4 linked regions of the Arabidopsis thaliana genome follow. The protein of the gene in region 3 purifies or fractionates together with the protein of the main gene of each other region. This does not show direct contact. Each region holds a gene or a part of one and is shown on either strand. Other genes may lie near its edges.

Region 1 (8,781 bases), on a different chromosome or scaffold from region 3:
ATGAATATTTCTCCTTCTCAATGTATCCTATCATCTCCTCTTTGATTGTTTTACTCTGAATTGTAATTTGGTAAGTGTTTTACAAATAAAACATGTTTTAAAAGTTCAATGATGCTTAATTTTTCCGGTTTAGAACCTGGTTCGGGTAATTTCATTGTAGTTGACTGTAACCAGGTTCTTCAAATTTATTCTGCTATTCCTAGTAATTTTTTTTTTGGTAAGATGCTATTCCTAGTAATTTTATTTCTTGATCAAATGCAATATTGCAATGTATCACAAGATTAGTTTTCAACATAACAAATACTTAAAAGTCCAAAAACCATAGAGATAAAAAAAATTGTAAATAAGTTGGATAATTTATTAGGTGTGCTTTTATTCATTTTTATTAAATAATATAATATTTTTATCGAACTATTTTAAGATATTCTCACGCTATTTGTACAAATCACCACCAACGGAATTAATTATACTAGATAGATAAATAGGAAGATGGAATGTTGGTTTTACAATAATAATATTTACTGTATAAAAAACAATATTCAATATCCTTTTTTGTCACCGAATATCTTTCTTATTACTAGTATGATAACAATTTTGAATTGTTTCCAAAAACTATATTAGAATACAATGTTCTTTTGTTAATAATATATTAAAATACAATGTATCAAAATGATTATGTTTTTTTCCTCTTTATGTCTATATGCATTACATTTGTCAACAAAAATTAATTGTTTCTTCTTTCAGATTTAGAATTAAAGAAAGAAGCAAACTAGCCGTTAGTTAAACGAAATTCAAAAGCTTCCAAGCGGCGCTTGTTTGCTCTCCAACGTTCACTAACAAATCCGCTTTAAATTTTCCCTTTTCTTTTTTATTCCATTTAAAGTCAAAGCGACGTCGTTTTCTCTCACTCATACGCCGTTTTATAACCAACCTCAGAGACTCTCATCGATCGATCTCTCTGTCTCTCGCATCGGAAGTACGAAGAAGGATCTTTGTTTTCTTCCTCTTCTCCTTCTTCTACTTTCGAACACTCGTGAATCTGATTCTACTCTAGTCTAATTGGGTGCTTTCGATTTCTGAATAAAAATTCGATTTTGGTCTGACGATTAAGAAAGCGAAAGTGATGGCCGCCGTAAATGGATATCAGGGAAATACTCCGGCAGATCCTCCGGCGTCTAATGGATCAAAACAACCTGCGGCTCCGACCAAGACTGTTGACAGCCAATCTGTTCTCAAAAGGTACTTTTCTTTTCCTCGATCTTGTCCCAACATTTCGATACCAATTCAAATGTAATCGCCTTAGTCTTTTGCCTCGTTTTTGGATATATCGTCGCTCCAATGTATCTTCTTTAAATCCATTTCATGGTTTGTTATTATTTGGCTATTACGCATATCCAGTTCTCGTGGTTAATGTACTGTTATGGATCCGTTAAATGAAGTGGGAGACTTCTCATATATGTTTGCATATAAACTGTTTGTTAGAATGTCTCTGAGAGAATTAAATCTTTAAGATGTTCTTTGTATTCATCTTGAATCAGATCTACATTTTATTGCTCAAAGTTTCGGTTTTTTAATCATGAGTTCAGTAAATCCCAGATTCCTAATCTAGGCTTTTCTTTGATTAAACGCAGACTGCAATCTGAATTGATGGGCTTGATGGTAAGTTATCATCTTTCTTCCTTTTTAGTGAACAAGTTTCTATAGTAAAGATTTGCTCATAGGGTTCTTGACTTGGTTGTTTTCAGATGGGCGGTGGTCCAGGAATATCGGCTTTCCCTGAGGAAGACAACATATTCTGCTGGAAAGGGACAATAACAGGAAGCAAAGATACTGTGTTTGAAGGAACTGAGTACAGACTCTCACTCTCTTTCTCCAATGACTATCCTTTCAAGCCTCCAAAGGTTAAGTTTGAGACATGTTGCTTCCACCCCAATGTTGATGTCTATGGCAATATCTGCTTAGACATTCTTCAGGTAAAAATATACCTTCCTCTTGTGTCTTTGTTCTACACTGAATCAGAGAAGACGTGCCAAAGTTAATCCGTTTACAACATTTTCATATTTGCAGGATAAGTGGTCATCTGCTTACGATGTGAGGACGATACTACTATCGATTCAGAGCCTCCTGGGAGGTATTCTATGGTGCATAACTTTTGATTTCTTGTTAGCCCTTTTTGTTGGTTAATCCAATATCTGATACATGTTTTCGTTGATCAGAACCGAACATCAGTTCACCATTGAACACTCAAGCAGCTCAGCTTTGGAGTAACCAAGAAGGTAAACAGACAGGGGATTTAACAGTCGTTATGAAATCAAACTTCTTTAGAGTACCACAGTTATGAGTTTCTTATGTCTCTTTTGTTTCTCCATACGCAGAGTACAGGAAGATGGTTGAGAAGCTTTACAAGCCTCCAAGTGCATGATTTCTGCAAGCTGTTCTGATTCATAAATCTCCAATGCCTCTGATGATTTCACATAAAACGATTTTTCAGAAGAAAACACTGTCATTCATTTGCTTTATTCTTTGTTTTTGAACATCAGAAGTTCTATCTGTAACGTTACCTTGAGTTCAAATAATGAGTAGTATTTCAGAGATTAATCAAAAGGAAAAGATACTTTATTATTATTCATCTTAAAATGGAAAAACACTCAGTATCAAAGTACAATCGCCAAATTTTTATTGTGGAAGTGAGAAACGACGATGAAGGAAAGCCTTGAAGCTTTGACAGATCTACCAAACTTAAGAAAGGCCACGAACTTTTCCAGTTTCAGTGTCAATATCAATCTCGTAGAAACAAGGTCTTGTAGGAAGTCCAGGCATTGTACTCATTGTACCAACCAGTGGATATATGAAACCAGCTCCAATGCTTCCTCTTACATCCCTAATTGGCAATACAAACCCTGAAGGTGCTCCTTTCTTTGATGCATCATGTGAGAATGAGTACTGTGTTTTCGACATGCATATGGGAAGATTCGAGAAGCCTTGTTGTGTGTACATCTCAATCTGTTTCTCTGCCTGTATTTTACATATCACAGGATAATAGATAAGTTACATAAACAGGTTTCTTTTGACAACAATGCAAAGAAATTGAAGAAGTCGGTCTAGGAATCAATCACCTGGTCTGAATATTCAACACCACTGGCTCCATATGACTTAGCTATTGCCTCAATTTTGTCTTTGATACCAATGTCCAATGGGTAGAGAAACCTGAGGGGCTGTGTAATGTTTTGACAAGCTTTTTCAACCGCGATACCAAGATCCACCTATAACATTTACAAGAACAATTCATCTATCAATAAGATGAGATTGCAAACAAAATTGCATATAATCACATAGTGTTGGTCTCGAATAGAGAAGATTACCGCTCCTTTACCACTATGAGCATGGTGGGAGCAGACCACAGCATCAAAAGCACCGGCATCCATTGAAAATTTCCTAACTGCATTTAGTTCTGCTTCGGTATCTGTTGCGAACATATTCACAGCAACAATTACATTCACACCGTAGGCCTTTGTGTTTGAGATGTGCTTTGCCAGATTCACACAGCCAGCTTCAACTAAGGAAACATTCTCGCTTACATAAGCACGATCAAGAGGTCTCCCGGCAACAACATCAGGCCCACCTCCATGCATTTTCAAAGCCCTAACAGTCGCCACAACAATTGCACACTGAGGCGTTAGCCCACTGTAACGGCACTTAATATTCATGAACTTCTCTGTTCCAATATCAGAACCAAAACCCGCTTCAGTTACCACAAATCCACCAGGTCCCACCAGCTTCAAAGCGATTTTATCAGCAACAATCGATGAATTTCCATGAGCTATATTTGCAAAAGGACCAGCATGCACTAGAACAGGGGTCCCTTCCAGTGTCTGCATGAGTGTCGGGTTAATAGCGTCTTTCATCAGAACAGTCAAGGCTCCTCCAACACCGAGATCATCTGCTGTTATCGGATCCCCTGCCTTGCTGTTACCAATCACCATTTTACCAAGCCTCTCTCTCATATCACCTAGTGAGGTTGTCAAAGCCAAAACAGCCATAATCTCACTAGCAACAGAAATGTCAAAACCAGTTTCTCTAGTCATCCCCTTTTCCTCAGGTCCCTGACCAATAGTAATCTTCCTCAAGAACCGATCATTAACATCCATCACTCTTCTCCAAGTGATAGAAGCAGGATCAATATCAAGCCTCGCAAACTTCTTTATCTCCTCGGGAGTAAGCTCCTCAGGACTGGTCTTGGATATCCCAAGCTTTGTCAATCTCCTGAACATAATGTCACTGAAACTACGCTTCCCTTCTTTATTCGGAGGGCACAGCCTATTAAAAAGAGCCTTGTCGGATTGAGACGTCTCATGGAAAATCCGAGTGTCGATTGCAGCAGCTAAGAGGTTGTTGGAAGCGGTAATCGCGTGAATATCTCCAGTGAGATGAAGATTGAACTCATCCATAGGAATCACCTGACTATACCCACCACCAGCTGCACCTCCTTTGATTCCAAAGGTGGGTCCTTGTGACGGTTGGCGAAGACAAGTAACAACCTAAGCAACAACACTTCACAAATCAATACAAAGAGAGAAGTTTGTCCAAAAGCAAGCATAAGGCATAAGCTAATAAATGAAAGCAAGAGAGAACCTTCTTATCGAGGTAAGCGCCTAAGGCTTGGCAAAGTCCAACAGTGGTAGTACTCTTGCCTTCTCCAAGAGGAGTAGGAGTAATCCCTCCAACAACAACATAGTATCCATCTTCTTGTCCTTGAAGCTCATCAAACGCAGACAACAAAACCTACAAGAACAAATCATCAGTTGATTAGCTCAGAACACTGAACCATTGGTTTAACCAGCTTCTGATGTTTTTGGTGAAACTAAAGTATCAATCTTGCCCACCGACAAAAAAGAAGTAACAGCAAATTAACAAGAAAAGAGAGCTACTTGGTAGGAAAATGGTAATATGAATCCAAAATCAATCGAAAGTTATAAACTTTGAGCTTACGTAACTGCCTACTCAAGCTCCAAAAACTCAATCATTAACAATCTCTTGAAAATTTATTTAAGTTTGATCGAAACCAATTCGAACATAATAGTATCTTATAACCAAAAACGGAGTTCTTTTGGATCCTTGTACCGACAACAACATAGAGACAGAGGAAGATTCAGATGAATAATTTAATTTTCAAAGGGAAATGAACAAAAGGGAAAAATGATGATTACCTTAGCTTTATACTTGCCATAGAGATCGTAGTGAAGAGGGTTGATATTAAGATCTTTGGCAATCTCAGAGATGTGTAAAGGCTCGACGGAATTAGCTATGTCGATATCGGCGGGAACTGGTGAAACAACCTCAAGCTTTCTTGTTGATGAACTCATCGCACTCTCTGTCGAAGTCTGATCTCGCGTTGGAGGATGAGAAGATGGATGAGGGACTCTGATGAATTGATGATGTTTTATAAAACTTTAAAGCACATCCTAATATATTACAGTAAGTAGCAAATACATGTTTAGATCATTATCCATATTAACCAATGAGAACGATGACGTTTTTGTTTTTTTCCCTCTTTTTCACCTCTTAATAAATATATTTTCAACACACATAATTATTGAAGGCCAGAAAATGACGGTTTCGCCCTCGATCTATAAGCGCAGCCACTATAGTTTAGTTTGGCCCACTGTTGTCGTCAATTTAAACTAGTACTATACTAGAAAAGAGAATGGAACTCGGATTTGTTAGGCTACCAATTTTCTTTAATCTTTACATAATACTTCTTAAGACTGTACTATTAAATTTGTTATTTTTAATAAAATACTGTTGTTTTTGAACTATTCCAATACAGTTTCTATAGATTTACAGGAAGCCACATTTCTTTTCATTTAAACCATCATTTTCATTGCACCAATACTATTTTATTATACAACGATGATAGTTTTTGTCAACATGTATAATGTATTGGGGTGAACGGATTCCGAGGTGTCTTGATAAATGGTGCCAATTTTTCCTCTCGACAGATATGGTGTATAGAGTTTTAGACTTAGAATTGAAGAGGCACGAGAGGGTCAACTATTGATGAATCAGTAACCTTGAAGCAATATATATTTTAAGCAATCTATATAAAAGCCCTATGGAATATGTCTAGGACTAAGCCTTCTTTGCGTATCTTACATAGTGAAATCGATGTCATATTAGTCCATTAACATAAAATGGGCTTACAGCTTTAGCATTTTCTGACCCAAAATGAGGCAAAGAAACGACGTCATTTAATATAAAGTTATCCATCCATTTCCTAAAGAAGATAAAATGGATGCAACCAAAGAGAATCAGAATTTTGATTTAGGATGGGTTTGACATTCTTATTGTGTGATAGATAACGTAGTTTAAAAGCAATACAAATGTAGTAGATCAAGTTGAAACAGAAAAGAAAGAAGAACATAAAGAGAAGAAAATCCCAAATAACAATGATATGATGATGCTGCTGAGAATAATAAACAGAAAAGGGCTATTCCAAAGGAGGAGCTCGATGCTATCAATGATGCTGAAACCTTTTTTGCAGAAATCTTTTTCCGGGAAAGTGTGTCAAACACAAATTTAGGGAAAGTGGTAGGTTTAGTGAAAAGTGATATTGAGAAGAAGAAGAGAAGCAGCATGCAAGAGACAAGTTTAATGAAAGTGATAGATACCAAAACTTGTATGAGTTTGGTTGTATGAATACTTGTATTTGTATTGAAAGATATTGTCTTGCAAAAATTTGATTTTTTTTTTCTTGAGAACCTACCATTGGAGGACATTTTTGTTAAGATAGTTTCTTTGAACCTACCATTGTGGTTTGGGACCCATTCTAGAAGAAAACCATATGGATCCAACCGATAAATCGTCATGACAAGATATTCGAGGTCTATGCTCTCGGTTACAATAACAAGGACTTGTGCCATAACTACAAAATCTTGAGGTTTATAGATATATGCTTGGAAGTCTATGATTTTAGCTCTAATTTATGGAGGAGTTTCTTGATGTCGTCTCTCCCGAAGACGACTTAGTATCCACTGGCAAGTCGTTGAAGGGAAATGGTTACTCATTGCTCAGTTTTGTTTTTTTCAACAGAGAGGTTTCAACTACTATGTGTGCCCTTTCATCAAGAAGCTGCAGAAGTAAATGATATTAAGGCTCTCTCAGTTGTTAGAGAAGAACATCTCTCCTTATTATATCAGAGTGCAAAGAAACTAAAGATGGATATAAGGGTGACCAATGAGATTGAGACAGTGGATTTAAAACCCCATGGTTGTTTGTTTTCGAGTTCCCTAAGTTTCCACATTGACGAAGAGAAGAAAGTTGCTGTTTGCGGTGAGAAAGTCATATACAACAAGATATACATTGTTGGAGAAGATAAATACACAAGGTATATCGATCTTCTGGTTTCGGTAGCTTTGATGGTCGGTTAAGTGTGTTTACGTATGTTCAAAGATTGATTTAAATCCAACAATATGTAATATCCTGTTGGACATTGATCATTTTGTATATATTATCATCTTAAATGTTTTATTCACATCTTCTGGATCTAATAAAAAAAAACATAACAAGATTTAATTTGACTAGTCCAGAGAGACAAGCAAAGTACCTTTAAAAATAATGAGAAAGTCTCATAGTCAATTAGTCATAGATTCCTTGTAAAGAGGTAGAGATTTGCATGATTCAGCGTCAAGCCGTCAATCATAATATTACTATACCGATCGAGCTCCTTCTTTTAACGTTGATTTATTATATTAACTAGGTGAACTTCCTTGCATTGTATTATGCATATCTATGAGATTTTTTCGGTGTTTAAGAAAGTGATAAGCGCGGTCGGTGACCCTTCGCCATAACGTTTAAAACATTTAGTCGTAGTCTGAACGATTTAAATCGTTTTAGAATAATTTATATATTTATATTACTATATGAAACTATATTTAAATTTCATATAGTAATATAAAAATAAATTTCATAAAGTATTAGTTTTTTTTCAATTATTTGTTACTTGACTTGTACTTGCAAGTATCTAAATTATACTACTTGTTAGAGCATCCCCATTGAGGAGTCCTAATTAAGGACTCCTTACAATTTTTTAATAGTAAATTTTGAGTAAATGAGAGTTTAGAGTTTTTGGTTGAAACTTTATAATTTTTACTGTCCAATAGTGGAATTCTTAAGTGAAATCCTTAAGTGAGAAATTTTTATTAGTTTGTGAAAAAGAGTATTTATTGGGTAAAATGAAGAGTGTGTATTAGGTTAAAGAAGAGTGTTTATTTGGTGAAAGAAGAATGTTTATTGGGTTTGTTGTAGAGAACAAGAAGAATGGATACTTAAAACAATAAGAGTGGATAAAAGAAGAGTGTTTTGGTATGCATACACAGAGACTTCAAAATTTAGAACAATGAAAACAAAATTATTGTTTAGCATACAAGTGAGGTCATAGAATACACAATAAGAACTAGTGTTCGGAATATTATTTGTGGTGTACAAGCATTCAAACCAAAGTACAAACTTATGGTGACTTAAAACATGTGGTCTCTTTTTAATACTAGTAATGTCAGCACTGGAGTGATTTAGAGAAGGTGGAACTTCTTACGAACACTATTGAAACACAACACACTCACACTGAAGACTGAACATTCACAAATAAGAAAACATAGAATACTTAAACTAAAGATTAAGACAACAGACATACAAGTCATATTGAACTTAAAGTAAAGACAACAGACATACAAGTTATCTCAGCTAAAACCACTTAGAGATACACGAGAGAGAGAAAGAAAAAAG
Region 2 (5,895 bases), on a different chromosome or scaffold from region 3:
GGTTTGTGAAACTTCACGACCTGTTAGAATTCTTGCCTTTCTCCCATGTTCTATCTTTCCGTCAAACCAAGCCTTCTTGTTTCTATAACTATGTGTTGGTGCCAACCCTTTTCTATGACACATAAACACATGCTTTCTGCTATATTTCAACCACATACTATCTGTGCCTTTTCCACATAGAGGACAACCCATTTTACCTTTAACTTTACATCCAGCAAGGTTTCCATAGGCGGGAAAGTCACTGATGGTCCATAAAAGCATTGCCTTTAGAGTGAATGTAGTCTTACTGAAGGCATCATATGTTAACTCACCCTTCTTCCACAGATGGTTAAGATCTTCAATAAGGGGTTCTAAGTACACATCAATACTATTTCCAGGTTGTTGTGGTCCAGGAATAAGCAGGCTTAGCATTATGTTCTCCTTCTTCATACATAGGTCAGGCGGCAAATTGTAGTTTACTAACAGAACAGGCCAGCAACTATACCTAGTATTCTTCATGTTGAATGGATTAAATCCATCTGTTGAAAGGCCAAGCCGCAGGTTTCTTTCTTCAATAGCAAATTCAGGATACTTGTCATTCATCTTATCCCATGTAACAGAATCTACAGGGTGACGAAGTTTTCCATCAGTGCTTTTGTTACTATAATGCCACCTTAAGTCCTTGGCCATTTCCTCTGATCTGAACATTCTCTTAAACCGTGGAATTATCGGAAAGTATCGTAATACCTTCTGTGGGACTCCTTTCTTAGCTTCTCCAGTTTGCATGTTACTCTTCCACCGTGACGCATTGCATTTAGGACAATTTTCTAGATTCTTGTACCTCTTTCTAAATAGACAGCAGTCGTTTACACATGCATGAATCTTTTCATATCCCATATCAAAGCTCCTTAGAAATTTCTTGACTTCATACAATGATGTATGAAGCACATTGTCTGCGGGCAACATCTCTGGCAATGTTCCAAGGAGTTCATTGAAACTCTTATCAGACCAACCATTTTTGGTCTTGATCCTAAAAAGAGTCACTATAGCAGACAGCTTGCTGTGGTTTAAACAGCTAGGATATAGAGGTATTTCAGCATCTGCTAACTTTGCTAGAAACTCATCTTCTCTTATGTCCTCATCCTCTGCAATCTCACCTAAGTCAGCATCAAAACCTTGAGCTGCTTGGTATAGCTCCAAAATTTCAGCATTCCAACGACTGAAGTTGCTCTCACAGTCAGCCACTGAGTCCACGTCCCCATGATGATACCAATCAGCTCTCAACTTGTAAGCCTCATCCATCCCCCTTCTTACAAGATGATCCACCACATCGCTGCCTGACTTTCGTTCCACATTACGACAGTCTTTGCAGGGACATACTATCATGTCAATGTCTCCTAATGCAACAGCCACATCGGTTACGAATTTCTGAGCACCTTTCTCATATCCAGGATCAGCTCTTCAAGTAAACAGGAAAAATAAAAAACCTCTTAAAGCAACCAAACCTAATCAGAAAACTAACCCATATTAATTATCTGCTTACCTGCATAGACGAACCCATGCCTTGTCCAACATTATATGTTCTAAGCTTAATTAAAACCTTTGTAAAAGCAATTCAAACCATAAGCAACATTAAACTATAGAAGACAGTAACTCAAATCGCATCACAGACAAGTGCACTTGGACCAATATACAAACTTATCTCTTATCAAGTTCATCAAATTAAGAAATAAACAATGGCAAACACAATCGACAATATACTATCTCAGATTAATTCAAAGACACATGTTTTAGGACCAACAAATTACACTATCTCAGCAAATAAAACCAATCGACAACAATCACAGCAACTTCAGTGAAGAACACAATCGACAGTATACTATCTCAGATTAATTCAAAGACACATGTTTAAGGACCAACAAATTACACTATCTCAGCCAATAAAACCAATCGACAACAATCACATCAACTTCAGTAAAGAACAGAACAAAAGAATCACAACAACTTAAGTTCATACAACTCATAAGTAAAGAACAGAACAATTGAATCTGTCGTGTGACTAACCTGTAGTCGTGTGAATAGAAGAAGAAAAGTTTCACTTCCTCGACATTGCAATCACCAACACTTGATAAAAAAAAACGATTATGAGTATAAGTTGAAGCAAAACGTTTAAGAACTCTAAATCAAATCACAAATCGATGCATATAAACCCCAAAACGATAATCAGTATAAGAAAAAAGAAAAGTTTCACTTCCTAATTCCATTCAAATCACATTGCCCTAAATATAACAAATCGATGCATATAAACCCCAAAATCAAATCGTCACAAAGAACTAGGTCAAATTGAGAGTAAGACATGCCTTGATTTTGAGCTCAGTGGTGGCTGCGACAAGGTTAGAGCTCACTGGTGGCTGCGACAAGGTTAGAGCTCACTGGTGGCTGCAAAATGAAAGTCGATTCTATGAGATTAGGTCAAAATGCGAGAAAGATGGAAGCTGAAATGGATTAATAAGGAATAAGGAAGAAAGACTAACCTTGAATTTGAGCTCAACGGTGGCTGAGCTGGAGAATGTGGCGGCGGAGAATCCGAATTTCTGGCCAGCGACAGATCTTAGCTTTTAGGTTGAATCGATTTTGGGAGTGGATTCGACAGATCTAAGGCAAAAGTGAATAATTTTGGTCTTCTCGATTTTCTTAGGTTTTCACGAAGCTGTAGAGGGAAGTGAATAGTTTTGCTTAAGTGTTGGCGCTGAAGTGAATAATTTTACCTAAGTGTTGGCGGACTAAAGTATTTTACATTCCCGCTAGAGGATTTACGGTCTTAGCGTTTATAAGGTGCTATTAAAAAGTAACCAAAAATTTTATTCATCTTTTATAGCAGTTGAGGAAAATGAGCTATCCTCTACTGCTATCAATGAGGACTTTTTTTGTAGTGTATATGAAACCAGCTCCAATGCTTCCTCTAACATCCCGAATTGGCAATACAAACCCTGAAGGTGCTCTTTTCTTTGATGTATCATGTGAGAATGAGTACTGCGTTTTCGACATGCATATGGGAAGATTCGAGAAGCCTTGTTGTGTGTACATCTCAATCTGTTTATGTGCCTGTATGAGCAATTTTCAATCTAAAACATGTTAATAATAAATCTTATAAGTAATTTTCAATAATATTTTAGTAAAGAAAACTATCAAAGGTCTCTTTGGAATGGTGTATGTTTGAATTAAAAAGAAAACAACAAACAGTAATTATTATGTGGATATTTAAGGGGAACTAAAAATAATAATATAGTCCTCCCCCAAGTCCTTTAAATTTTCTTGAGAGGAGTCACAATTGAGCCATGTTCAGAAGATATATGTTTTAGAACACCAAGAAAAATATCTTTGAACACTAAGATGTCAGTTTAATGGATCGTGAAAGTCTTTGGACCCTACGACTGGTTTATGATGAACTTGTTTGTAGGGAGATGCGATTTTGACTCAACTCAGGTCTAAGTATCATCCGGAAAGCTCATCCCCCTTTAATTTGAAGATGAAAGTCTTAATATGAGTTATGAAAAAAAAACTTTTGAAAAAGATATATTGGCAAGTGTTTTAAATAAAGTGCATAGTCAATCTTAATGGTAAATTTTCTTAGAGAATGGCTTCTTTCTTCGATCTCTTTGACTAATGTGGTGCTTCAAGTTTTCTTCCCTAGTTCTAGCTTCCTAGTATTCTTCGTTTTTGTAATTTAAAATTTTCATTACTTAGTCCGGTTTTTAAGAATTATTTTCTATAATGTTTAATTTGTAAACAGTGCCGGTTTAAATAGAGGGGCAAGCGGTGCGACAGCCAAGAATCCAAACCCATGTTTTAACAATTAAGGGACATATATTTTTTAAAAAATATTTTTAAAAATTAGATATAACACAAAAATAAAATTTAGAATGGACCTATAATTTTTTTAATGCATTTTTTTTTTTTTTGTTAACTAAATTATCATACAAAAAATTTTATAACAAAATATAAAAAAAAATTATCCTACACCCATGAAATTGTTGAGCGGACACTGTTTGTAAACATATGTACGAAAATGGGTTTTAGCTAATGCGGGGGTAAAAAAATCTTGTCAAATATTTAGAGAAAAATACTGTTTTATAAATAAAAAATACTGGTTGACATCGTTTAAAATTTTGAAAACTTCTCGATTTCAAAGTTTCATCAAAGACAATACTTAGCTTTTTGGGTTAAAGTCTTCATATGTCTTTCAAGAAAAGATCTTGAACTCATTAAAACAAAATAGAAGTGATAATAAAATAAAGATTATAAATCTCAAATGACACACGTAAATTGATGATGTCATAAAAATCCATGATAGCTGTTGTTTTGTTTGTACTCTAGTAATGTAAATTGTAAAGCATAAAAGTAACTAAAATATCTTATGCCTTTCACACGTAGAGCCCAAAACCCTTCCGAGCTAAGTAATCTCGTGACTTGTGAGGCACAAAATTATCTCACTTGATTTTCTCAAATTTTAGAATAGATTTTTATTTTCTAAAAAACTAAAAAACTTGATAATATTATGTGGACGAGTATATCTTATAATTTATAGGGTTATATCCAGATTTAAATCTGGATTAGGAACTGTAAAAGGCAAAAAAAAAAAAAAATACATTAAAAACAAAATAAATACGTGGACAATAATAAATAAAATAACTCTCATTAGTGATGAATGCCCATCATGAAGCCGTGGAAGATTTCCAGGATTGGGAGCCATGTCGTTACTCCACGTACCATGGAGAGATGGAAACAAATAATGGAGTGAACAGAGACTATGTTCGTGAGGATGTGGCAGCGGATAGGGGCAAACGCAAGAGAGAGGACACCATCGAAGAAGATGAAGAACACGAGCCTTCTAAGATGGTGATCCGTGAGGCTGGGGAAAGCAGTGGTTGCTCCGGAGAGACGGTTCAGCCGAATGACGTGGGGAGAGGCGCGGTGGGCCCAGAACCCCCTCTTCCTCCATGAGGACAGCCGCTTGGAACTGCAGAGGACTGGGCAATGACCTCGCAGTTCGACGTCTAAAGGAGATAAAGAAGAAATTCTCTCCAGACATCATTGTTCTCATGGAAACGAAGTAAAGGAATGACATCGTCAGAGATATTTGCAGCGATGTAGGTTATGATAGGGTTGTAATGGTTCCTCCAAATGGTCTAAGTGGTGGAATTGCTTTAATGTGGAAAAGTAGTATTTCTGTATTCTGTTCTTTATCAATCCCCAAACCTTGTAGATACTTTTGTTAATATTAATGGATTTGGGTTCTATTTATCTTGTGTATATGGTCACCCAAATCCTATCCATAGACACTTGGTTTGGGAAAGATTAGAACGAACAGCAACACAAAGAACAGGTCCTTGGATGGCTATAGGGAACTTCAATGAAATACGAGGCAACCATGAGAAAAAAGGAGGCAACTTGAGGCCAGAAAGCTCTTTCTTTGATTTCAGGAAAATGATACAAACCTGTGACTTCCATGATCTCAAGTTTACAGGAGACCCTTTCTCTTGGGTCGGAAAACGACACACTCATGATGTTGCCTGCTGCTTGGATCGATCCTTGGTGAATAACGAATGGTTAACTCAATTTCCCGCATCCCACATGGAATTCCTTGAGTTAATAGAATCAGATCATCGACCAGTGATCACAACAATCACGAGCGATTTTGAGCAGAAGCATAACCAGTTCTGTTTTGATGGAAGAATGGTTGAGCGTGATGGGTTCAGTGATGCTGTCAGACGTGGGTGGAACCGGAGAATCTTTCACCAGGACGACAATCTACGATCACGACTCACTGCCTGCAGAAGAGAAATATCTCAATGGAAGAGGCGATATCGATCAAATGCCCAAGAAGATATAGCCCTTCTCAAAAACAGAATTGAT
Region 3 (9,001 bases):
TTGAAATTTGGAAAGGTTGTGAAAAAACATTATCCTTCTTTATCTAATTGCATTGGATCAGGTTTTCTCACACGTCATGTTGGCGACTTTTGCAGCTATGAGTGAACTCATTAAGAAGATGTGTTGGGAACTCGTATCCATTAACAAGGACACTATCAATGGAGTAGGTGTTGCTACTTACAGAAAGCCAACTTCAAATGAGTGCTACAAAAACAGATCAGAACCGGTGCCTCCAATTTGTGCAGACTCTGATGATCCAAATGCATCTTGGTATATTTCTTTTTCAGATGTTAATTACTGTGCTTAAAGAATCAGCTGGTCTAGGTTAACGAATACATGTTTTGATGTGTGGTTTTTGTAGGAAAGTGCCGCTTCAAGCATGCATGCACACCGCGCCAGAAGACAAAACGCAACGTGGATCTCAGTGGCCCGAACAATGGCCAGCGAGATTAGAGAAAGCACCGTTCTGGTTATCAAGTTCCCAGACTGGAGTTTACGGAAAAGCAGCACCAGAGGATTTCAGTGCTGATTATGAGCACTGGAAACGCGTAGTGACCAAATCATACCTTAATGGTTTAGGAATCAACTGGGCATCTGTTAGAAATGTGATGGACATGAGAGCCGTTTATGGAGGGTAAGTAAAACATGCTTTCCTCTCCGCTTTCAATTGAATTCAAATAATATAAGGTCAATCAAGAAACACTGTATTGATGTTTCCTGCATCTTTAATGTTTGTGTTGATTCTCTTGTTGCAGTTTTGCGGCAGCTCTAAGAGATCTGAAAGTGTGGGTCATGAATGTGGTTCCAATAGATTCACCAGACACACTTGCAATAATCTATGAACGAGGACTCTTTGGTATCTACCACGATTGGTGCGAATCTTTCAGTACATACCCGAGATCATATGATCTCCTTCACGCCGACCATCTTTTCTCCAAACTCAAACAAAGGTTTGTTTGTGTAACAAAGAGTCTCTGTTTCAAACAACAGAAACATAATACTTAACAAACTCTTTACTTTACAGGTGCAATCTAACTGCGGTGATAGCAGAAGTGGATCGTGTTTTGAGACCGGAAGGGAAACTGATAGTTCGAGACGATGCGGAAACAATACAGCAAGTGGAAGGCATGGTGAAAGCGATGAAATGGGAAGTTCGAATGACTTATTCTAAGGAAAAAGAAGGTTTGCTCTCTGTTCAAAAATCAATCTGGCGACCCAGTGAAGTGGAAACACTCACTTACGCTATCGGTTGAGAAGACTTACTTCAAGTCCCACTCTTTTTTGTACGTATAAAAACACTCTTATTAACTCCATATCATCCCTTTTTTTGTTGGTTCGTCTTTTAGGAAGTTCTTTTTTTTTAGCTGTTGAGTCATTTGTTTGTACTATTCGCACATTTTTGTGTTCTTGAAGGTGAAGAACTCTATTGAGGTTCTTTGGTAAAGTTAGATTACAGTGATATGTGTTACTCTATGGTTTCTTCTATTTGCTTGCATTGGTGTTAACTCCGTAAAACCAACTGAAACTTCTTCAATGAACATGTATGTATTCAGTCAGGTTTTTTATCTTAGGCTGAACTTAATGCAAAATAATGCATCCTAATCTCTCAATAGAGTTTTAGCTTGATAGATTCAAATGGATGCGAGAACTTTCATGAATAGAGAGAGATAGATACATTGTTGGATTTATATAAGAATAGATGAAAACAAACAAAGTTCTTCACCATTTCCAGAAAACATTGGAACCACACTTGTACTTGTCCTTGCCTTCGCATTCCAAAGCAATATCTTCTGAGATAAATGGAACTTTCTGCAAAACAGAAAACGAACAAGAACATCACAATCTCTTCAAGTTAAATATTATTCCCAAAGAAAAGAAAACGTTGTGGATATTAGACAAACCTTTTGCTTGGCAAGATCTTGGCAGCCAGTGAAATTCTCAGGGAACTTGCAGCTTCCGAATTGAACAGTGAATGCTCTCGCAAAGTTTGCTCCACTTGTTGCCAATCTCTTCTTATCATTAAGTTCCTATAATCAAAATTTCAAAAAATCCAAAACTTTTTAGGATCTTTAGCAATGTCAAGATTGAGGCATTCAAAGACTTACTTTGTTGGTTTTGCTCCTCTCGAGGTATTCGTCAATGACGCCAGCATTAGCAGAAGCAGAAACAGCAGCAGTGGAGAAGAGTGTAGCTGCTAAGAAAACCATGGCTGATCGTCTTCCATTAGATCCATCAACATCATCACCAACAACGCGTTGAGCTTTGATCACAGGCATAATCATCTGTTTCTTCTGACCAAACCCAACTGATGAATTCACCAAACCAACTTTCTGGTTAAGCTCTACCGAGCCAGAGCCAGCAATTGCGTAGCTGCAAGTGAGAACACTCGAGTTCATGGCCGCCATTAAAGATGTCTTTTTCTTTTGTTCTTGAAAAATTCAAGAGTTTTTTGAGTTTGATTGGTGAGTGAGCAAGGAAGAGATTAGATTTTAGTATTAGAGATGAATGAGGATGATGATGATGACGTGGACTAAGATGTAATAAGGGATTGTGGTTGGAGTGTGGATAAGGTGAGATTTCCCTTCAGTCCTATTGGCAAAAGTCCAAACCTTTTCTTATTACTCAAAGCTTCAAGCTTTTAAAGTTTGAGTTTTTCAGATTCTCTCTTCCAAGTGTTTATGTGGTTAGATTCACTTCAGTCCCCACCACACAAACTCTCTCAAAAATCACAAAAATCTCTGTTTGGTACTCTGTTTTCTTAGTCTGATCCGGTTTAACTGAACTTTATCCCGGTCAGGTAAAGATTTCGGATTATGACTCTAATTTGGCAAAGCCTATGTTTCATAGAAAGAACAAAAGAGAGCTTTTACCATTATAAGATTTTATCCTTAGAGAGAAAGTACAGTTAAACAAATAAGAAAAAAAATGACCAAAAAAAAAACAGACAAAGAAGAAAATGTTAAGAAAACAGAGCATTGAAAGCAAATTAAAACTGGCCTGATAATGTTACAAGCTCTCTGGTTTGTTCCTAAGTTTGCTTTGCTGATACATTATAATCTACAAATTTCTTTGTGCCATTTGTTTCGGGAAACAAGAAATGCACGAGGAATCAAAATCTCTGGGCTGTCTTTCTCTCACCAACTAACCAAATATTGAAGGAAAAAAAAAAAAAAAAAAAAAGGGGAGTTTTCTCAGGTTGATACTGTGGCTGTAGATTCAAGAGGCACACTCTCATCTTTGTTCAAAGCTTCCCAGTCTATCTCCCTAAGAATCTTAAACCGTTCCTCCATGGACACAAACCCAGCTTGAGGAACCACTATACCAGGACTTCCAGCTTTGTAAATCAGAACAATACTGGTGCCCATCTCAGGACCATGGAGTTTTCCCGTTAACAACACTCGTAGTGGCATGAAAAGTGATTTACCCTGTAACCAGCATCAGAAGAATCTCTTGTAAGGTTTGTTCACTCAAGTAAAGTAGATTTTGTTTCGGTATTAACTGCATTAGAGAGATGACTAACTTTGCGTTTCAAGGATTTGCCAAAGGCTTTCACCCATTTCTGCCAAGCACCTTGTCCTTCTTCTAAAGCGCTTGGAATCTCTCCGCTGTCATAAGCAGCTATGAGGCTGGCTGCTACTTCATGAAGTTTGTCTTCCACAGCAGGCTTAGCTTCAGGGCTGCATCAGGTGCAGCAAACTCAAATCAACACAAGCGCAGAGCTCCAGAAAACCGTAAAAAATATTTATTGAAAGAAAAGAGGTGATGCAGGAGGAACAAACGGTTTGATAGTTACCTAGCCAATGTAGCGTGTAGAGGATATGAAAGCAAGTTCAAAAGTACTTTGTCTGAATCTGTCACCAACTCAATCCCATCCTTGAGAAGCTCGACAGCTTCCTGTACTTCAACAACAAGCTCAAACTGGGTAAGTCTATACAGAAAAAATCTGTTGTTCCTAATTCCAAAGCTTTATGTTAGGATCAGAAGAAAGTGCGGAGTCATGATTAGAAACCATACATTTACAAAACTCCCCTCGGATTCTGTTAAGATACCAGCGCTCTTCCATCGCTCACCAACAAGTTTTGTTAGTTTCTCATTTGGAAGTGCCCTCAGATGTTGACCATTCATCCATCTTTGAGTTTATAAATATGCCACATTGAAGCTACTTATAAGAAAAAGGTAGAGAACAAACAGAGATACGAAAAACAAGAGAGAATAAGATTGGATAATTCAAACAGCTAAGTAAAATCTATAATCACCTTAACTTTGTTGAATCAAAAATCGCGCCACTTTTGTTGACACGTTCAATCGAGAATTTTTCAACTGCAAATCAAGAACAAACATTCAATGAAGAAATCAGAAAAGCTAGGGATGGCAACAAAGTAACTACAGTCAACAAAAACGACCTACCAAGATCCTCGAGTGTGAAGAATTCATTTTCAGTCCCGTCTCCCCAACCTAAGAGTGCCAAATAGTTAACCATTCCCTGAGGTAGATATCCCATCTCTCTGTACTGTTTTTTCGAAAGGGACATAAAGCAGAAATTAGATGAAGAATCAGCAATGGAGTAATCTATGATCTACGAGCAGTAAAGGAAATAACAGCTATAATCACCTGGCCTACAGAAGTTGCCCCATGTCGCTTTGATAATTTACTTCTATCCGGAGCTAAAATTAAAGAAACATGTGCAAATTGAGGCATCGGGAACTTAAGAGCCTGCCATTGATTGATACAGACAGCAATAAATCAAATTCTTCCTCCTATATTCTGGATCACATAACTTCCGAAAGCAATTGGAATAAACAAACATAAGCTAGTGCTTACCTTGTAAATTAGAGCCTGCCTCAAAGTATTAGGCAAGTGTTCTTCAGCCCTGAAATGAAAGTTAATAGATTTGATCAAGATAACATTCAAACATGTTAAGAGAAGAAACTCAAATTCCAAAAGAAGACACTACCTTATAACATGTGATATAGCCATGGTAGCATCATCTACCGTAACACAAAAGTTGTAAACGGGTTGGCCATTACTTCTCATTACCACAAAATCCCCAAGAGTATCCAAGTTCCAACAGACCTTCAAGACACTATCACACATGGTCAATTACAAGAAGGTACTATCGAGCTTTAAATAACAGTATCTAAACATAGATTGATGATTAAGCACACAAAAAAACCTATAATACTAACCTCGCCACGAATCAGGTCATTAATTTTCAAAGAGCCTTCCTTTGGCACACGAAACCGGTAAGTAAAAGGTGTTCCCTTTTCTAACTCTTGCTCTATTTCAGCATCAGAAGCTGTTGCCCATTTCCCGGTATATACTGGAGGCAACTGTTTCAACTTTGCATTCTCCTTCATCTTTACAAGTTCCTACATAACATAACAATTGATCAAAATCAACAGCAGAGTCAAAAAAACCAAGCTGAAGTTGTTCAGCGAATTTGAAGATAATCACCTCACTTGAGCAAAAGCATCGATAGACATGACCTGACTCTAAAAGCTTCTCTGCATATTGTTTATACAAAGCATTTCTTTCAGATTGCCGATAAGGACCAAAGTCTCCACTAACCCCAGGACCTGAAATTTCAAATCCCAATTTCATTACACCACCATTGGAAAAACACCTAAATTAGCACAGAGAAGAAGAAGAAAAAGCAACCTTCATCCCAATCAAGACCAAGCCATGAGAGATCCTGAAGAACAGCTGCTTCAGATTCACGTGTTGATCTCTCCAAATCTGTATCTTCAATTCTCAGCACAAATTTCCCTCCTTTAGACCTGTAGAAAAACTCCATCAGTTACAATCCCCAAAAACTCTCAATATTGTTCTGCTCTATATCAGATCACAAACCTCGCGAACAAGTAGTTGAAAAGAGCAGTCCTTGCTCCACCTACATGGAGATTACCAGTAGGAGAAGGCGCGAAACGAACTCTGACAGACCCACCATTGTTGACTGGAGTGGAACACGCAACCACCGCGAAGCTTCGCCGAGAACAGTAAAATAAAGAAGATTGACGCCGTCTGAGAAAAGCTGGAGCAAGCTCCGGTAAAGATCTAACCCTAAGCCACGGCGTCCCGTAGACAAGGCTCGCCATTTTCGTTTTCTTCGAAAGTTGAGATTTTTCAGAGGATAAAAGGATTTGATTAATCGGAAAGATGAAAGTCGCAAAGCAAAGCAACAAATTCGATTAAAGCCTCATAACTGTTTTAATTGTAAAATTACATCCCCATATTATATTTTCAACCTATTTACTCCCCAATTGACAATTGTAATGCTAAAATTCACTTATTAGGAAAGACACGTGGACTATTTGAGGAACGACGTCGTCTTGTCGTCTGGTCTGGAAAGTAACATTGTTCTAAAAGACCCCATAACCTTTGTTAATTTCTACTTACATCCTCGTACTATGTTTGCGAAGCAAAGTCAAAGTAATTGTGGCATTGTATTTCCCCAAACGACGACGTTCGTTCACATTCATCCTTATAGCCTGTGACTGAATTTTAATGGCATTATCATTGAAGCTAAGCTAAGAATCCATGGTATTACACTAGTTAAAGCGAAGGTCTTTGCCACATACATAAATGATGATGAAAATCTAAGACTACAGACAACGCAGTTGCAGAAACATAACATAGAAAGCTGGCTCCACTACTGGACGGTTTCAAGTTACTGATTCATGGTTTTGTCTCTTCTTTCGTGCAGACAGAGATGGCAACAATAGAAACGTTCTGGCTAAAGCTTCACATGTTTGGTCTCTGTTTCCATGGAGCATCAGACCAAAGCAAGAAAGAGCATAAGTCAGCACAAAATACTTAATCGTCCTTAGTCTGACCGTTGCTTCTTGAGTCATCAGGAATACTAGCTTGAGCTGGAGGAGAAGGAGGATGAGGAGTGGGTGACTGTATCAGATCCTGTAGCTCTACGACTTGGTCATTGCTCAGGTCAAACATTCCACTGAAATTGCCATCTCCTAAGAACACCGGAGCTTCCTTGTTTACAAAACCATCAGGATGTCTTACCTGTAGTTTCAGAAGCAATCAAAACAAGTTTCTTTTCAGGAACACTGAAATCTGATTCATCAAAAGCATGATGATGCAGAGACAGACTTACCTCATTATGGTAGTCGAAATCGTCGAAAAGTAAACAGTCGTCATTGTCAACAGAAAAGAGATCAAGCATCGAATTTAACTCGCCACCATCGAGAGATACTTGAGGAACCTCAAGAAGAGGTGAAGAAGAAAAGGGATTGTAAGCTATAACATCACTTGTTAGAGGTGGAAGCACTGTGGCAGTTAGTGGCGGCACATCAGAGACGCAAGATTCTGAGATCACTCCTGTCAAACCATCCTTAGGAGCGTACGAGTGTGAGGCCTTAGCAGCTAGACTGGTTTCTTTACTAGGACCAGCTACAAGATGATTCTGAGTATATTCTTCTTCCTTATCACTCCAATCCTCTTCCTTAAATGGAGCACCATATTGAGATCCATGTCTTGGTCCAAGTCCATTTTTCTTAAAGAGAACGCAAAGCACATAAGTATCCTGCAGGGCACAACAAGCATGTTTAGTAAACTTGCAAGGAATCAAAACGTTAAAAAAAGACAAGAACGAATCGTCATTACCTGAGGAACATTCTTTTGAGCCAGTACTTTGTCTTCAAGTCTATATTCATGTATGACCCAATCAGTCCGATCACCGCGAGGTATTTTCCCGTAGTGATAAATCAGAGTTCTTATCTTCCCAGTGACTTCGTCATTATAAGAAACATCTCTGTCTCTCCCTGTGGTCTTCCAGTAACCACATTCAGTAGAGCGGTTTGCCTTACCGCCTTTGGGATACTTCTTTTCTCTTGGACAGAAGAAGTACCACTTAAGATCTCCAGTCCCTAGACATGATTTGTCTGTACAATGTAAAGAAACCTCTGTTAGTAATCAGGAAATAAATAAGAAAGCATGAAACAGAACAAAGATTTCTGAAAGAATGAGTTAGTTACCGGGTAAATCAGGAGGTTCGAACTTGTAAATGTCGACCTCAGCAATGGCATCAACTTGGAACTTTTTTCCCATAACTTTCCTCTTCAAGTAGTATCTCACAAGTTCAACATCAGTCGGATGAAACCGAAAACCAGGTGCCAAGTTAGTTTTCCCCATTGGAAGACAAGGGGAAAACTTTCACTACACTAAGTAACTTCCCTCACCAGTAAAGCAAAAAACTCACAATAACAAGATCTAGCAGAGACAAAAAGCTAAGAAGAAGAAGAAAACATGATGGTCTGAAAGCACCACAACCTTCCTCTGCTCATATATCCACAGTCACACCAAAGAAACGATGGATTCTTCTTGCAGATATCAACAGACATCTGCTGTACAACACAAAACGAAGCACCTACACATAGAAGAAGACACTTTTCAATGAATGGGACTGTAACAACAAAAAACAAATTCTAGGGCTAATTCTGATTTTGTAATTTTGTTGTAACTGATCAAAATTTGGTAAGCAGATAGATAATCTCCACTGTAGAATTTAATCCTTTGATCAAGGGGAAGCATCAAAGTTGATGGAGCTAAGATCAAACCCAGAAATCAAAACCCCATTTTCAAGAAACAGAGAAGACGAGAGATTACATCGGAAACCAAAACGTACAAGTGAGAAACATTTCCGGCGTTAAAATAAACAAAGAGAGAAGATAAAAGAGAGGAGAAGTCGCACCGGTAGGGGAAGGAGAAGCGGAGGAACAGAAAACTTTGGTCGGAGGAGAGAGAATGAGAGTATAGCTTGAAGGAGAAGCCAGGGGTAGAGTAAGTGAGTGATGGGGTTTAGGGTTTATATAGATCTAATTACGCGTTTATTATTACAGAAATAAATTATTTTGCAATTCAATGATAAATCATAAATGTAATCGGCCAAAAACCAAAATGTATAAAAGTTAACTTTTTTAGTGTGTTTTTTTTCTTTTACTTCTAGTTGTGCGGGTTCCAAAAGCTATTACCATATACCATAAAA
Region 4 (6,393 bases), on a different chromosome or scaffold from region 3:
GTCACTTCATCAAATCTCTTGTACATCCAATCTCGATAGAAACCGCCAGTACCGCCATAATTGTAGTTTCCCGCCATTATACAATAAAATAACTAATATTTTTTTTTTTCTCTTTGATGTTGTTGTTGTTTTGATTTGTTGGTGAAAGAAGAGTTGCGTGAACGTTTATTATATAGGCCAATTTTTGTGACTAATTTACGACTACAACTAAATAATTAGGTGTACCTACTTACCAATGCGAAACATGTTTTCCATCTACTTTATACGAGTACGTTGCGACGTTTCTACGACAACAGGACGACTAGAGGACTTAGTCGGCCTGTAGTCGCCATATTAGCGACTAAATAAAATAGACGGTAGAATAGTCGTTAATTAGCGACTAAGCAACGACAACAATATCCCTTCAATAATATAATCGTCAAATAGTCGTCACTTGCCGACACTTTGCCGACTGCAGACGATAGTCGTAAAACAACGACTATGTGACTACAATTTTTCGTGTTGTCGCAGGGGAGTCGTAAATCCGTCGCCAACTAGTCGTATAATGTTACGACTACGTTTGTTGTCGCTGATTGTTCCGCCTATAGAGAAGACTGCTTCTTTAACCTCCTCTTCGGTAATCTTCTTTGTTAGGTCTGCATTCATATCTGCGGTTACTCGTTGTTGGAAGCCATTTAGAACATAGTAGTGATTGTTATTTGTCGTTAAGTCACTCCGAAAGAGCTTGGTGAAGAATTGTTGCGCCACTTCCCCAATATTAGAACTGCCTCTGTGTTCCACATTCGCATCGTCCAAGATAGAGTACATTCTGTTTCGTGCAGATCGTATTTTTGCAGAGGCAAAAAAATACTTTGTGTTACGGTCTCCACCTGACAGCCATGTTTTCCGGCTCTTAAGTCTCCAGAATTCTTCTTCAGCAGCATAAGCCTTCGACAGCTGCAATCTGAGCTCTCGGATGTGTTGAGTTGTTGTGCCATCAGAGTGAGCTCTATCAATTCTGTTTTTGAGAAGGGCTATATCTTCTTGGGCATTTGATCGATATCGCCTCTTCCATTGAGATATTTCTCTTCTGCAGGCAGTGAGTCGTGATCGTAGATTGTCGTCCTGGTGAAAGATTCTCCGGTTCCACCCACGTCTGACAGTATCACTGAACCCATCACGCTCAACCATTCTTCCATCAAAACAGAACTGGTTATGCTTCTGCTCAAAATCGCTCGTGATTGTTGTGATCACTGGTCGATGATCTGATTCTATTAACTCAAGGAATTCCATGTGGGATGCGGGAAATTGAGTTAACCATTCGTTATTCACCAAGGATCGATCCAAGCAGCAGGCAACATCATGAGTGTGTCGTTTTCCGACCCAAGAGAAAGGGTCTCCTGTAAACTTGAGATCATGGAAGTCACAGGTTTGTATCATTTTCCTGAAATCAAAGAAAGAGCTTTCTGGCTTCAAGTTGCCTCCTTTTTTCTCATGGTTGCCTCGTATTTCATTGAAGTCCCCTATAGCCATCCAAGGACCTGTTCTTTGTGTTGCTGTTCGTTCTAATCTTTCCCAAACCAAGTGTCTATGGATAGGATTTGGGTGACCATATACACAAGATAAATAGAACCCAAATCCATTAATATTAACAAAAGTATTTACAAGGTTTGGGGATTGATAAAGAACAGAATACAGAAATACTACTTTTCCACATTAAAGCAATTCCACCACTTAGATCATTTGGAGGAACCATTACAACCCTATCATAACCTACATCGCTGCAAATATCTCTGACGATGTCATTCTTTTACTTCGTTTCCATGAGAACAATGATGTCTGGAGAGAATTTCTTCTTTATCTCCTTTAGACGTCGAACTGCGAGGTCATTGCCCAGTCCTCTACAGTTCCAAGCGGCTGTCCTCATGGAGGAAGAGGGGGTTCTGGGCCCACCGCGCTTCTCCCCACGTCATTCGGCTGAACCGTCTCTCCGGAGCAACCACTGCTTTCCCCAGCCTCATGGATCACCATCTTAGAAGGCTCGTGTTCTTCATCTTCTTCGATGGTGTCCTCTCTCTTGTGTTTGCCCCTATCCGCTGCCACATCCTCACGAACATAGTCTCTGTTCACTCCATTATTTGTTTTCATCTCTCCATGGTACGTGGAGTAACGACATGGCTCCCAATCCTGGAAATCTTCCACGGCTTCATGATGGGCATTCATCACTAATGAGAGTTATTTTATTTATTATTGTCCACGTATTTATTTTGTTTTTAATGTATTTTTTTTTTTTTTGCCTTTTACAGTTCCTAATCCAGATTTAAATCTGGATATAACCCTATAAATTATAAGATATACTCGTCCACATAATATTATCAAGTTTTTTAGTTTTTTAGAAAATAAAAATCTATTCTAAAATTAGAGAGAAAATCAAGTGAGACAATTTTGTGCCTCACAAGTCACGAGATTACTTAGCTCGGAAGGGTTTTGGGCTCTACGTGTGAAAGGCATAAGATATTTTAGTTACTTTTATGCTTTACAATTTACATTACTAGAGTACAAACAAAACAACAGCTATCATGGATTTTTATGACATCATCAATTTACGTGTGTCATTTGAGATTTATAATCTTTACTTTATTATCACTTCTATTTTGTTTTAATGAGTTCAAGATCTTTTCTTGAAAGACATATGAAGACTTTAACCCAAAAAGCTAAGTATTGTCTTTGATGAAACTTTGAAATCGAGAAGTTTTCAAAATTTTAAACGATGTCAACCAGTATTTTTTATTTATAAAACAGTATTTTTCTCTAAATATTTGACAAGATTTTTTTACCCCCGCATTAGCTAAAACCCATTTTCGTACATATGTTTACAAACAATGTCCGCTCAACAATTTCATGGGTGTAGGATAATTTTTTTTTATATTTTGTTATAAAATTTTTTGTATGATAATTTAGTTAACAAAAAAAAAAACAATGCATTAAAAAAATTATAGGTCCATTCTAAATTTTATTTTTGTGTTATATCTAATTTTTAAAAATATTTTTAAAAAAATATATGTCCCTTAATTGTTAAAACATGGGTTTGGATTCTTGGCTGTCGCACCGCTTACCCCTCTATTTAAACCGGCACTGTTTACAAATTAAACATTATAGAAAATAATTCTTAAAAACCGGACTAAGTAATGAAAATTTTAAATTACAAAAATGAAGAATACTAGGAAGCGAGAACTAGGGAAGAAAACTTGAAGCACCACATTAGTCAAAGAGATCGAAGAAAGAAGCCATTCTCTAAGAAAATTTACCATTAAGATTGACTATGCACTTTATTTAAAACACTTGCCAATATATCTTTTTCAAAAGTTTTTTTTTCATAACTCATATTAAGACTTTCATCTTCAAATTAAAGGGGGATGAGCTTTCCGGATGATACTTAGACCTGAGTTGAGTCAAAATCGCATCTCCCTACAAACAAGTTCATCATAAACCAGTCGTAGGGTCCAAAGACTTTCACGATCCATTAAACTGACATCTTAGTGTTTAAAGACATTTTTCTTGGTGTTCTAAAACATATATCTTCTGAACATGGCTCAATTGTGACTCCTCTCAAGAAAATTTAAAGGACTTGGGGAGGACTATATTATTATTTTTAGTTCCCCTTAAATATCCACATAATAATTACTGTTTGTTGTTTTCTTTTTAATTCAAACATACACCATTCCAAAGAGACCTTTGATAGTTTTCTTTACTAAAATATTATTGAAAATTACTTATAAGATTTATTATTAACATGTTTTAGATTGAAAATTGCTCATACAGGCACATAAACAGATTGAGATGTACACACAACAAGGCTTCTCGAATCTTCCCATATGCATGTCGAAAACGCAGTACTCATTCTCACATGATGCATCAAAGAAAGGAGCACCTTCAGGGTTTGTATTGCCAATTCGGGATGTTAGAGGAAGCATTGGAGCTGGTTTCATATATCCACTGGTTGGTACAATGAGTACAATGCCTGGACTTCCTACAAGACCTTGTTTCTATGAGATTGATATCAGTCAAAGCTTCAAGGCTTCCCTTCACCGTCGTTCCTCACTTCCTCAATAAAAATTTGGCGATTGTACTTTGATACTGAGTGTTTTTCCTCTTTGAAATGAATAATAATAAAGTATCTTTTCCTGTTGATTAATTAATCTCTGAAATACTCATTATTTGAAGTTGAACTCAAGGTAACGTTACACATAGAACTTGTGATGTTCAAAAACAAAGCATAAAGCAAATGAGTGACAATGTTTTCTTTTGAAAAATCGTTTTATGTGAAATCATCAGAGGCATTGGAGATTTATGAATCAGAACATCTTGCAGAAATCATGCACTGAGAGGCACAAATTGGATGCCATGCCGAAATGAGGGCATCTCGATTCACGTATTGTGGGCCGAATAGTAAGGCCCATGGAAGATTAAAGTCAATTCAAATTCGAACGTTGAAAGCATTAAATCCAAAGACGGAAACGGAAGAGTTAAAAGAGAATTATGGTGTATAATTAAGAATAATTACTAGGTTTTTGTATAAATAAGAGAGGTCTTGGACCATGTAAGACACCCACAATTTTTCTAGCAATTTTCGATAGTCATTTTGATATCAATTTTTAGCTTTTACATTTTATCTTTGTCCTCAAAAATTAATCCATCTCACAAAACAAATAAATACTTGAGCGTGTGAATCCGACATCCACAACACTTTTGCCTGAAAAAATAATTAACATAAATGTAAAGTATCCTAACTTTCCCATTTTAAATAATATTGTTTATTCAAACTATCTTTAAAAAGTTTTGACAAATATACACCCAAAAGTATATTTTTGAAAAATCTAAAGTTGTAAGGTAATAAGGTAATATATCTAAGGTAGACTAAAGATATATTGAATAACAAATAAAAAATCTAAAGTTTTTAAATGACTCAAAATTGGACGGTATAGATGAATTCTAACGCCTATCATCTATATATATATACGACAAGGGTCTTTCTTATTTATCTCGATAACCAAACTATCCTCAGCTTGTGTAATCCTCATTTTGCCCCTGACTTTTGAACGGTCAAATAATATGAGCCGTTCGATCGAATATGAGATGAGAATTTTAAAATCGTAACCGTCCGTTTTTAACTTTGGCCATTGTCCCTGCTCTTTAATTTTATAATTAATTAATTGAAGCCAAATAATTGTGACCGTCAGATCGATATCAAAAGAAAGGAGTTGATAACATTCGTCCGATTTTATCAAAAACAAGGAACGAATGTCAGCCGTCCATTTTGTACCCTTCAGTAAACCCTAATACTCGTACCTAATTAACCTAATATAAATATAAAAATACGGTGCCGCTTCATATATTGTCTATCCTATTTGCACCTAAGAACTACTCTTTCCATCTCTAGGTTTTGTCTACAAGATTGGGATCTCATGATTGACAAAGAGAAAGGTAATTTAGTCAAGGCCGATAGATTTAAGTATGCGAAGAGAACCAGATTTGGGTACAGATTTGGGTATGTGAAGAGAGCCATGCACGGTACAAAGATAGTTATCAAATAAAGCTGTCAAGTATATTGACTTTTCAACACCATTCGTAATGTGAAGAAAGAAGAGAGTTGCAAAGTCCTCCTTCTTTATTAGAAGGAAATCTCATTCTCTTATTGTCTTTGTATGGGTGAAAGTGAGATCTATGGAAGGGAGTTAGTTGACCTGCGGAACCAGAGTCGATGGGAGACGCTGAAGCGGTTGGAAACGTTTCGAGTTGAGCAAGAACTTGGTCTAGGTTTGTTCGAAGAGTATTAGGGTTTGCTTTGTTAGTTTGATCGATACCACGCCAAATCTGATATTCGACGTAAAGACTTTTCACCTTCTCTTGTAAAACCCAATTTAGGTTTCGAATCCGTACGGTCCATTGTGAAGTTACTAGCGCGGTTTGGTAACACTTAAGTGAATTGTCAAACTCTCGCTGATTGTTACATATCATCAAATTTTTCTTCCTGCTTTATATCATCTAACTAGCTGATTTGAGATTCACAATCTTGATTCTCCAGGTTGCTCTGTATATTGGTGGTCTTTATGTTTGTGGAAAGGTTGGATTTTGAACTCTTATTCTTGCAAACAATGATCTTAGCTTTTGATTTGAAGCCATTGTTTGAGTTTTCGGTCTTGGTAATATACAACAATGTTAAAAATATGCAGGTTGGATTGGAATCTATAATGAAAATGGGAGTATAGACAAGAGAACTGTTCTTCTATGAGACATTTCTGTATTGTAACCCGCTCCTTCTCATTGTAAGTTACATTTCCTCTCAAATTAGTAGAGTCAAATTCTTTAAGTGTGTTTCCTCATGTATGCTATTTTGTTCAGACACTGAAGGTC

What was found.
Region 1: the proteins of ERS (region 3) and THFS fractionate together in Arabidopsis thaliana (co-fractionation; one large-scale study listed by BioGRID). This does not show direct contact.
Region 2: the proteins of ERS (region 3) and AT2G12200 fractionate together in Arabidopsis thaliana (co-fractionation; one large-scale study listed by BioGRID). This does not show direct contact.
Region 4: the proteins of ERS (region 3) and AT2G12280 fractionate together in Arabidopsis thaliana (co-fractionation; one large-scale study listed by BioGRID). This does not show direct contact.

Annotation. Positions count from the first base shown.
Region 1 is NC_003070.9:18,698,646-18,707,426, reverse strand, and holds THFS (10-formyltetrahydrofolate synthetase), read right to left. Parts: upstream 5,546-8,781; 5' UTR 5,364-5,545; coding exon 5,208-5,363; intron 4,783-5,207; coding exon 4,633-4,782; intron 4,539-4,632; coding exon 3,363-4,538; intron 3,264-3,362; coding exon 3,117-3,263; intron 3,016-3,116; coding exon 2,740-3,015; 3' UTR 2,489-2,739; downstream 1-2,488. Other genes in the region: UBC20 (ubiquitin-conjugating enzyme 20), read left to right, coding at 1,124-1,239, 1,632-1,659, 1,746-1,973, 2,068-2,131, 2,217-2,276, 2,376-2,422; AT1G50470 (F-box associated ubiquitination effector family protein), read left to right, coding at 6,983-7,055, 7,135-7,427.
Region 2 is NC_003071.7:4,897,822-4,903,716, reverse strand, and holds AT2G12200 (P-loop containing nucleoside triphosphate hydrolases superfamily protein), read right to left. Parts: upstream 3,105-5,895; 5' UTR 3,067-3,104; coding exon 2,902-3,066; intron 2,800-2,901; coding exon 2,773-2,799; downstream 1-2,772.
Region 3 is NC_003076.8:25,627,005-25,636,005, forward strand, and holds ERS (glutamate tRNA synthetase), read right to left. Parts: upstream 6,206-9,001; 5' UTR 6,096-6,205; coding exon 5,851-6,095; intron 5,778-5,850; coding exon 5,659-5,777; intron 5,577-5,658; coding exon 5,455-5,576; intron 5,370-5,454; coding exon 5,187-5,369; intron 5,074-5,186; coding exon 4,955-5,073; intron 4,871-4,954; coding exon 4,822-4,870; intron 4,714-4,821; coding exon 4,612-4,713; intron 4,511-4,611; coding exon 4,408-4,510; intron 4,321-4,407; coding exon 4,257-4,320; intron 4,130-4,256; coding exon 4,015-4,129; intron 3,895-4,014; coding exon 3,794-3,894; intron 3,678-3,793; coding exon 3,521-3,677; intron 3,426-3,520; coding exon 3,192-3,425; 3' UTR 2,828-3,191; downstream 1-2,827. Other genes in the region: AT5G64030 (S-adenosyl-L-methionine-dependent methyltransferases superfamily protein), read left to right, coding at 1-15, 96-270, 362-634, 756-950, 1,025-1,253; PSAN (photosystem I reaction center subunit PSI-N, chloroplast, putative / PSI-N, putative (PSAN)), read right to left, coding at 1,686-1,805, 1,902-2,027, 2,106-2,405; NAC103 (NAC domain containing protein 103), read right to left, coding at 6,814-7,020, 7,112-7,540, 7,621-7,898, 7,992-8,148. UniProt on the Arabidopsis thaliana protein: Catalyzes the attachment of glutamate to tRNA(Glu) in a two-step reaction: glutamate is first activated by ATP to form Glu-AMP and then transferred to the acceptor end of tRNA(Glu).
Region 4 is NC_003071.7:4,918,505-4,924,897, forward strand, and holds AT2G12280 (P-loop containing nucleoside triphosphate hydrolases superfamily protein), read left to right. Parts: upstream 1-3,777; 5' UTR 3,778-3,819; coding exon 3,820-4,092; 3' UTR 4,093-4,175; downstream 4,176-6,393. Other genes in the region: AT2G12290 (uncharacterized protein), read right to left, coding at 5,596-5,997.